2 linked regions of the Saccharomyces cerevisiae S288C genome follow. The gene in region 1 interacts genetically with each later gene. Each region holds a gene or a part of one and is shown in the gene's direction. Other genes may lie near its edges.

Region 1 (7,208 bases):
GTGTTGCAGAAGGGTGGAAGTGTTTTAAAAGACCATATCTCTCTGGAAGATTATGAGGTACATGATCAGACAAATTTGGAGCTGTATTACCTGTAGAAAATGCGCTGTTTTTTTTTTTTTGATCTAAATACACAATACATACATTTGCAACCGAGAGAGATAGAATATGTAGAAATAATAAGATGGCGTTGTCTCTATAATGCTTTTCTATTGTTTAGTAAGCTACAAGAAGTAATCAACATGTCTGTTAGAAGCAGATCTGGCTTGGTATACATCTGAAAATATGTACATTTCAGGGTCCGTGGAGCCATCTGCGGAGGCAGAGTCGTCTTCGAAATAATCTGCAATCAATTTCCTGTTGGCTACCGGATTAGATATGCTATCTTCTAAGGCATTGTCGTTCATACTGTTCTCTTTCAACAGTTTATTTTCAGGTGCCTCTTCGAAAACGTTGAAGTAGAATTGATCTTTACTATACAGCTCCAGAATAGATGCTTTATTGCCGCACCGATAACAATAGTTTGGCGCCGACCATACAGTAGTAACCAATCCATCAAAATATATCTGGTAACCTTCGTTACATAACTGATGGGCTCTGTATATTCTGTTCATATCGTTCATACGTAAGAATTTCTCCACCACGCTTCTTCCGAAAGTATAACCTGCTCCACGAGGTGACACCTGGAAATGTTGTCCAGAGTTATCTGGATGATCTAACGTGGGGTTATTGTTTTCTTCCGGATCAGACCAAACCAAGTCTGCCATGGCGCCATCGTGTGGAATTTCTCGAAATCTATCAATAATCTTGATCTGATCTATGGTTTGAACATTGGGCGAGAGCCCACCATGAACACAAAAAATTTCGTCGTCGATAATACAGCATAACACTAGATAGTCAAATATATCTGTCAAATATTGCCAAACTCTTGAATTGCCACCGTACTTGTTCAAGCACTCCGTGTAGAAACCATAGCTCTGCGTGATTTGACGTGACTCGTGGTTTCCCCTCAAAAGATGAATTCTACTAGGATATCGAAGCTTAAGCACAATCAATAGCATAATTGTTTCCACACTGTACAACCCCCTGTCTACATAGTCGCCCAAGAACAGATAATTCGTATCAGGAACAGGGCCGCCTATTTGGAAGATCTCCAGCATATCGTGAAACTGTCCATGCATATCCCCCACGACTGTGACAGGGGTCTGAATGTGAATCACGTTTGACTCCTTCACTAGCATTTCCTTCAGCTTAAAGCAGAGTGCCCTTACAGTCACTTCAGGTAGTAACTGGGCCTTGTATAGCCTTTCTAAACATTCGTCCAATTCCATCTCTACTGGGCCAATTCTCTAACCAAAAATAAAAGTACACAGTGGGGATACAACTGCAATGAGTGGAACTTAATAAACAGTCACGAACTGTTCCAAATTACCTACAACTCGCTGAAAATACCGCGTTTCATACCCTGAAACAGTGGGTATTTTAGCAGTTTTGCATTATTAATTACTGCTCCATCACCCGGGAAACTCGCGCCACTTTTCGGGCGTTTCTTTGTATGGAAAGAATTGATTAATCTGAAAAGAGTGATAAAGGTGGGTAAACAGAGATAGAAAGAAGCCAAATCTGCAGATTAGAAGAGGTTAGAAGATTGTAATTGTTGCTGCCCCAGTGTGTTATTGCCTTAGAGAGTAGTACTGTTAAAGAACAGCTAAGAACGGGTGTTTTCAAAACGAATTACTGGTTTACAAAGAATTCAAAGGAAAAAAAAAGGTTCCAGCATATTTGTTAACTTTTGTGTGAGCTCCGTCTGTCCTTCAAGTTACTATTGGGCAGTTTCAAGTACAAACAGTCTGCCATTACTAAAAAGAAGAGAAGCCTTTGCGTAAACTATTTGACAGGCACAAATAATGTCGCATTCAGACTACTTCAATTATAAGCCTTACGGCGATTCCACGGAAAAGCCCAGCAGCTCCAAGATGAGGCAGTCATCTTCATCATCTTCATCTAGACTAAGGTCGGAAAGTTTAGGGCGAAATTCCAATACTACGCAGGCTCGAGTAGCGTCATCGCCCATCAGCCCAGGGCTGCATTCTACCCAGTACTTTAGATCACCAAACGCTGTTTACAGCCCTGGAGAGTCTCCATTAAATACAGTACAGCTATTCAATCGTCTTCCGGGTATACCTCAAGGTCAGTTTTTTCATCAAAATGCCATTTCTGGGTCCTCCAGCTCCTCGGCAAGATCTAGTAGACGGCCCTCGAATATTGGTCTTCCTCTACCAAAAAATCCTCAGCAGTCTCTACCGAAGTTGTCTACTCAACCTGTTCCTGTACATAAGAAAGTTGAGGCTAGTAAAACAGAGAGCGAGATTATTAAGAAGCCCGCTCCCGTGAATAGTAATCAAGATCCATTATTGACGACCCCAACGTTAGTGATATCACCAGAACTGGCTTCACTAAATACAACGAATACATCGATTATGTCAACGCCACAAAATATTACAAACCAAACTTCGAACAAACACATTCCCACCAGATCGCAACCAAATGGGTCAACAAGTTCCTCCACTTTGCAGGATATTGTCACGACAAATAGCTCGCAACGGTCTGTAGGCCACCATGGTGGAAGCACAACGAGCCTCCGAACATACAAAAAACAATATGTATTAAATGAACAGTTATATTTAAGAAAAATGAGAAACCGTGCTAATGATGATTATTACACTAGAGGTATAGTCGCATCATCCAACTTTGAAGATGACGAAGAAAATTTTAGTAACAAAGGTGAAGATGACTTAGAACTAGAAATGGATGATCTTTTAAAGGTAGAAGGTGAGGATAAAGATAACGACTTCAATTTTGGTTATAATTTTATTACGTCGAGCACAAAAAATAATGAAAATGTTGTTTCGATGAGCCTAAATTATCTAAAGGGCAAATTGGATTGGTTGAGGGATGTGAACAATGATCAACCGTGTGAAATAGAAGATGAGGAGTGGCATTCCATACTGGGGAGCGAGGATTTGCTGTCAAAATTGTTACAAAATCCTATGGTGAACAACCGATTTGAATGGCAAACAATGTTATCTAAGGTACTGAAGGGAGATATTGTGAGGAATGAAAAAACGAAGATTGCAAATCAAGGGAAAGGCCCTGGCTTCAATACTCAGTTTTCAGATGACATTTGGATTGAGTTGAAGGCATGGATGAATGGGAGGACCGTGGAAGATCAGAACAAATCTCTGAGGATTTTTAGGGATTCTACTGACTCCGTATTTCAAGAAATCATGGCCTTTAAACTAGAAGATAATATGAGCGCTGACGAGGCTGCAGAGACTATCAAATCACTAGTAGACAAATATTATAGAGTCTTAAATCTATGGCCTAACATTAAAAGAATGCATGCTGAAAAACCCATTACTAAAACAGAAGCATTCAGGAATCGAATAGATACTTTGAATAGTTGGCTTAATTTCAAATTTAACTTTGATACTAATATTGCGTACCTGAAAAAATGGATAGTTGGCAATAAAGAGCTAGAAAGCACTACCGAAGTGGATAACACCACCGTGAATTTGGATGATCCAGCCGTTTTCGCCACTAATTGTAAACGCTTTGCGGAGCAAATTATGAAGGAAAAGGATATTGAACTGATATTTCAAAAAAAAATATTCTTTCCATTAGCACCATGGATTTTGAAGGCCAAATTTTTCTTCTTGAAATACCAAAAAACTTGGAATGAATTGAATCTATCTTATTTGGATCAAGATCTGGAATTTTTATTGATGTTTCCAATGCGTTTGGTAAAAGATATAATACTAATTCGCCTATCTTACGCGAAGAAAATACAGAATCCAACCTTGATGATGATCGATCAAATGATGGACGATTTTAGTACATATATTAAGTTGGCAGTCCAAATGAAATTCACTGTTGCTTCTTACTGTAATGACTGGTTTTTTAAAGTGAAAATCGATCCCGAATTTGATCATACCGTTGTTGAAGGATTGGAATATTTTTTCTCCATTTTGGAACTGAGAATATTATATAGTGGCAAAAACTCATTCAAGACTTCTAAAGAACCTGATCTGTTATTAAAATATTGGGAAATGTTTAGAAACGTCGGCTATTATATTGATGATGCAGGCGAACTGATCGCAGCAGAATTTACGAAGTTGACACTTAGATTGGTTCACAGATTGCACGCTTACCTTTTAAGGCAGCAAAACACTCCGCCAAAATTAGAGAATGAAGCTGCTGCTGAAAAATGGCTGGTGCAAATATTCGAAATACTTGGATCCATGAAAAGAAAACTCAATAGATTCACCAATATTTTGACAAAAGCATTTCAAAATTTTGTCCGCTACAAGATAGAAGATCACAACTATCTGCTAAAGCAACTAAAAGAAACAGGCCACTTTCTTATATACACAGGAGGTTACCTAGAGCAAAATGGTACTTATTTAATTGGTAGCCCAGAGCTATTAGGCTGTAAAGATGATGATATTTTAAGAATCATTAAGAATTCAGACATCGGTTGTGATTTAGTGCCTAAGCTAGAAATTAATAACAGTCTGACAATTTATAATGCTTTGGATGATAATTGGAACTCCAACTCATCACTGGGTTCAGATATCTCGAATGATGGTACCCCATTTTATTATATCAAAAACGATTTGACCACCCAGCCTAGATCTTATAACGGTAATAGAGTCAATCGTGAACCGGATTTTGAAAACAGCAGGAGCACGGAGGAAGAGTTTTATGAACTGGAGACAAGATTGAACTCTCTTGGTTATGTATTGGTATTGACTCCGCAAGAGCCATTACTTTGGGAGGGTGAGATGTATAATCTATCCGATAACAAAACAATTAAACCAGAGGGATTGAACTTGAAAGTAATTCCTAATTCAATAGATTTGATGTGCCAAGGATCCAGTTATGCCTTAGAATACCAATGTGACAGGTTCCAACAGATATCTGGTAGCTCAGTTTCTTTCTTGGAAAAAAAATCTTCCTCAGAAACGGTTAAAAACAACTTACAAAGGATAAATAAAGCATATTTCAGATGCACGTACAGTGTTCTGAAGAACTATACAAAGATTGTGACCACGTTCAAGAAGGTAAGTCCTGTCAATGATTTATTGAATAATATTTTCCTTTTTGGGAGGGATTTTGGTCTGAACTTTTTGAGAATTAATGTTGCCAACAATGAAAAAAGATCCATTATAATACTTTTAATGATGCGGTTAAGTATCGGATGGCTGAAGTTCTTAGCTGAAGACTGTGATCCGACTGATCAAAGGGTATTTAGGTGGTGTGTCACGTCAATGGAGTTCGCGATGCATATGGTAAGCGGTTGGAACATACTAGCTCTTGATGAATGCCAATTTTCTTCTTTAAAACAAAAAATTTCAGAATGCATGTCATTACTTATTTCTCATTTTGATATAATAGGCGCACGCTCCATAGAAGTTGAGAAAATCAATCAACAAGCTAGATCAAATCTTGATTTGGAAGATGTGTTTGACGATGATATGATGCTACAAGTGAATTCCGAGTTCCGAGTACAAAGTATAATGGAATTGGAAGAAAGGATAAAGCGGAATCCTCATCAAACTGGTAAAGTAATTGATGATAGTGACAAAGGTAACAAGTACCTTGTTTCTTTGGCATCTTCCATATCGAACGTTTCTATGAGATGGCAAAAGAGGAACTTTATTGGTGGCGGTACTTTTGGAAGGGTATATTCTGCTGTTGATTTGGATAATGGTGAGATTTTAGCAGTCAAGGAAATCAATATTCAAGATAGCAAATCAATGCAAAAAATATTCCCCTTAATCAAGGAGGAAATGAGTGTCTTAGAGATATTGAACCATCCAAATATAGTTTCATATTACGGTGTTGAAGTTCATCGTGATAAAGTTAACATCTTTATGGAATATTGTGAAGGCGGTTCCCTAGCAGCTCTTTTGGAGCATGGTCGTATTGAAGATGAAATGGTCACTCAAGTCTACACTTTACAATTGCTAGAAGGACTTGCATATTTGCATGAATCCGGCATTGTTCACCGTGATGTTAAACCCGAAAACATCCTACTAGATTTTAATGGTGTTATTAAGTATGTTGATTTTGGTGCTGCTAAAAAAATTGCTAATAATGGAACTAGATTGGCAAGTATGAACAAAATCGAAAACGCAGATGGTGAACACGAAGATGTTACCCATGTTTCTGATTCAAAGGCAGTGAAAAATAACGAAAATGCTCTATTAGACATGATGGGAACTCCTATGTACATGGCTCCAGAATCCATCACTGGATCTACCACCAAAGGCAAACTTGGGGCAGACGATGTTTGGTCGTTAGGCTGCGTGGTATTAGAAATGATCACTGGTAGACGGCCATGGGCTAACTTAGATAATGAATGGGCTATCATGTACCATGTTGCTGCAGGACATACCCCACAATTCCCTACTAAGGATGAAGTGTCGTCTGCTGGTATGAAATTTCTGGAAAGATGTCTTATTCAAAACCCCTCCAAGAGAGCCAGTGCGGTTGAGCTGTTGATGGATCCTTGGATTGTACAAATTAGAGAAATAGCCTTTGGCGACGATTCTTCCTCTACAGATACTGAGGAAAGAGAGTAGTTAAGTTGAGAAGGTTTGTTGTATTATATGTAAAATCAAAATATAATGTAGTGGGGGGAGAGTATATAATGTTAATTCAAGGATAGAAGATTAATGATAGCATTTTTTTATAATTGTTTTGATTTTGAGAACAGAAATTTATAAAGGTAAGATATAAAAGTGAAAATTTGAAGTCTAGTCGAGGTGGATTAATGTAAAACGCTCGCTATATATTTTATTGGAATTGACGTTAGCTATTATCAATCAGTTTTTTCATCTTGTTTGATTCTCTTATAGGTGAAGAAGACATCGCTTTTAACAATCGAATTGGCCGTCAATTCTTTCAAAAAAACGGTAGGGGTCTTGTCGAAAATGATCTGTTTGAGTAGAGACAAAACATTCACTCTCTCTTGGAAAACAAAGTTCTTAATGTAGGTTGGGTCAAATCCAGTAAACATCTTTGTTGTGTTAACTAGCTCCCAATGGTTGGTAGTCTTATTCTCGAATGGCAATTGAGAGGCGGTTGGCTCGTGGGTGATCAAGAAATCAAAGGAGGGCCACATTTCCTGCAGTAAAGTCGTATT
Region 2 (3,348 bases), on another chromosome or scaffold:
TCTTGCGTATGGTTCTAGTTCTTTGCCAAATTATTGATTTCAATCACGCTTTAAAGTTTTTTCTGGGTTTTCTCCACATAGGATAGTGACAAGAAGTGCGGTAGCCATGTGGTTTATTGCAGATCACAGTATGAAGGACCTTCAACTTACCTTATTTACTTATTAACAGGAAATTAAGCGTCATAAAAAACTACAGCGGTGATAGGAGCTGTGAAAGGATCCATATTGCTATCGTGAGTGAAAACGAAGACAACCTGAAAATAAGTATTTTTCCGCCGTTCTTCAACGATGTATTTAGATATCAGTCGATATTAACGTATAGGAGGAGGATCGATTATCGTGAAGATAGAAAATAATGACCGAAGAAGATTCCCTGGTAGCGCACACTTCAAACTAAGGGTTGGTCTCCGGTAAATATCAAGATTTGTACATTTGGCTAAGTGCTGGAACCCATGCAATTGATCTTATTGTGATGATTTGATGATATTCCTCCGTCAGAAAGTCCTAGAACACAACCTCTGGATGAAAACAGAAAAGAAAAATATGCAAGATGTTCAAGTGCGCGCGGAGCAAAAAAAAAAAGGAACAGAATACTAAAAGAATACGTCGCGAATCTCGTTATTGACAAGGCATGTTTGGATGAAAACATGTAATGCCCCATTCAGCTTATTTTTCAACATTTTCAGAGTAACACGCAGAAGAAGACTTTGTTTTTCCAAAACCTCCTTTTGCACTCAAAAAGAATGCCAGTTCAGCATGGCATATTGGAGATTATTTTTCATAAAACTGTAAGAATTGTAAAGCAAAACTGGTGCACTGCTACATCAACTCTTATCTTCTTGCATATAAATTTAAATGAAAAGGAACTACTTTGTAATTATCGATATTACATTGAAACCTATGAGGAAGATTATGACATGATAACACTAAACTATTGCTGGCCAGCACCCGAACCGAGTGTCCAAATTGAGTTTTGAATCAGTTTTCAGCTCAGAACAGATTCCCCTTTTCCTTTATTAGGTCGTATCATCATTCTATGTGCAACTACTGCAGCATTTGCGTATAATTATGGAAATAAAATTATACGAAAGTTGATACTTGGTTGTAAATGGCCTAAGAATCGGAAAAAATGGAATTCTATTGGCATGCTATCTTGTTTAATGAGATTATGAAGTTGAATATCATTTCTGCGTTTTGCATTCAAACAATATCATTTCAAAGGCCTATCGCTGTGAGCAATACGCTGGATTTGCTCATCGCACAGTAAGCCTGCACTACCCCACCAAATTACAAGAATATAGTAGAGATCAGAAGCTTATGAGAAGTCACTTCCAAAATTCGCGTTGTCCAACATCCTTGGAATAATTTTTCCTCCTTATGCATCCAGGTGATTGACACTTTTTGACGGGATAAATGCAGGTGGAGGTGGGGGAGGGGTAAAGTTTCGTAAAGAGTGTCAGGTCGCATATCTTTGCACTGCGCAGAAATTCTCGCAGAAAATTACGCTACGGAGAAATTCTCGGGCACTAATATCGTACAAAAATTAGGTTTGTTACGTGATAATATGGCCTTGTACCTGTTAAGTTTTTCCGACAATTAGTTACTAGCTGAATATCTTAAAAAAAGGTAAAAGTAACTCCTCCATGGTTTGGTTATTCATGCGTAAACACCTTGGATGCTCTGAGATATAAAATCAGAATGTACTACGAAGTACTGGAACTCAATTGTACATTATGTTACTGCAATAAGTAAATTCACCTAAAAAGCCAAAAAGTGATAATGTCAAATAATAAGGCTGGCGGTGAATATGAAGTCATCACTATTGGTGATGCAAAAAAGCTTCAAGCAACAATTTCAGAGCTTGGCGCTACTTTGCTTGACTTGAAAGTGAACAACGAATCGATTGTTCTAGGATACCCTGATATTCATGGCTATATATCAGATGGCTACAACTACATTGGTGCTACTGTTGGCCGTTATGCAAATCGTATTTACAAGGGCATGTTCAGTATGGAAGATGGACCTCATCAGTTGACAGTGAACAATTGTGGAAACACCAACCACAGTAGCATCAGCTCCTTCCATCTCAAGAAGTATAAGGCATCCAAAGTCCAAAATCCTCTTGATGACCTTTACATTGTTGAATTTACGTTATTGGATGACCGCACACTGCCCAATGAATTTCCGGGAGATCTAGCTGTAAACTTAAAGTACACATTGAACGTTGCTGACATGACCTTGGACTTGGAATACGAGGCAAAACTGGTCAGCGGTGAGGCTACTCCCATCAACATGACGAATCACACGTACTTCAATTTAAACAAAACTATGGATAAAAAATCCATTAGCGGTACGGAGGTTAGGCTCTGCTCAGATAAATCATTGGAAGTAAGCGAAGGAGCACTAATTCCAACCGGTAAAATCGTTCAAAGAAAAATTGCTACTTTTGACTCCTCCAAACCTACCATTCTGCAGGATGATGGCCCGATTTATGACTACGCTTTCATTGTTGATGAAAATAAGAATTTGAAAACGACAGACTCAGTAAGTGTAAACAAGCTCGTCCCTGCCTTCAAGGCTTATCATCCGGCATCACGACTTTCATTGGAGGTTTCAACAACAGAACCAACTGTCCTATTTTACACAGGTGACAACTTGTGTGATGGATTTACGCCGAGATCTGGCTTTGCCGTTGAACAAGGCAGATATGTTGACGCAATCAACCGTGATGGATGGAGAGACTGCGTTCTTTTGAGACGTGGTGAGGTATATACTTCTAAGACTCGATATCGTTTTGCGGTGTAGGCACCAAATTTAGTTGTTTACTTTGCACTGTCGCATTATTTTTCTATAAATTGAGCTTTTTATAATGAGATATGATCCGGAAACAGCTTTCTGAAGTGCATATGTTATAGTTAATATTAAGAATTTTTTGAGACTTTATTATGTTACCATGATTGCATTATCTTTTAATGTTAACAGTAACAAGTTTACGTATCGCTTTAAAACATAATTACATTCAGAGGTCGGAATTTAGAGCCAATAAAATTTTTAGAGCATATGTTGACGGTTTTAAATTACTCCCAACTGCGCAACAACACCTTATTTTCTTTTTGCCATATTTTAATATTTATTAGCATTTGGGAAATATTTAAAAAAAGAAAAAAATCAGCTTTTTATATATTTCTTTTAATTTAGTAAACCTCATTCTCTTTTCCTACATAAGTAATAAAACGTTGACCACTCTATTTTTAAAGGTACATTCAAATCTTCACAATGACAGATTTCTTTGAGCTCGTTAATGAATATATCGGCAATATCCGGTTTCGAGGGATTATCTCTAGCCCA

What was found. Genes that interact genetically often act in the same process or in processes that back each other up.
Region 2: mutations in SSK2 (region 1) and YHR210C together harm fitness more than expected from each alone (negative genetic interaction), as found in Saccharomyces cerevisiae (3 studies listed by BioGRID).

Annotation. Positions count from the first base shown.
Region 1 is NC_001146.8:680,131-687,338, reverse strand, and holds SSK2 (mitogen-activated protein kinase kinase kinase SSK2), read left to right. Parts: upstream 1-1,905; coding exon 1,906-6,645; downstream 6,646-7,208. Other genes in the region: ubiquitin-like protein HUB1, read left to right, coding at 1-96; putative serine/threonine-protein kinase PPG1, read right to left, coding at 223-1,329; ALG12 (dolichyl-P-Man:Man(7)GlcNAc(2)-PP-dolichol alpha-1,6-mannosyltransferase), read right to left, coding at 6,885-7,208. UniProt on the Saccharomyces cerevisiae protein: Kinase involved in a signal transduction pathway that is activated by changes in the osmolarity of the extracellular environment. Activates the PBS2 MAP kinase kinase by phosphorylation.
Region 2 is NC_001140.6:520,169-523,516, reverse strand, and holds YHR210C (aldose 1-epimerase superfamily protein), read left to right. Parts: upstream 1-1,779; coding exon 1,780-2,805; downstream 2,806-3,348. Other genes in the region: CRG1 (S-adenosylmethionine-dependent methyltransferase), read right to left, coding at 3,205-3,348.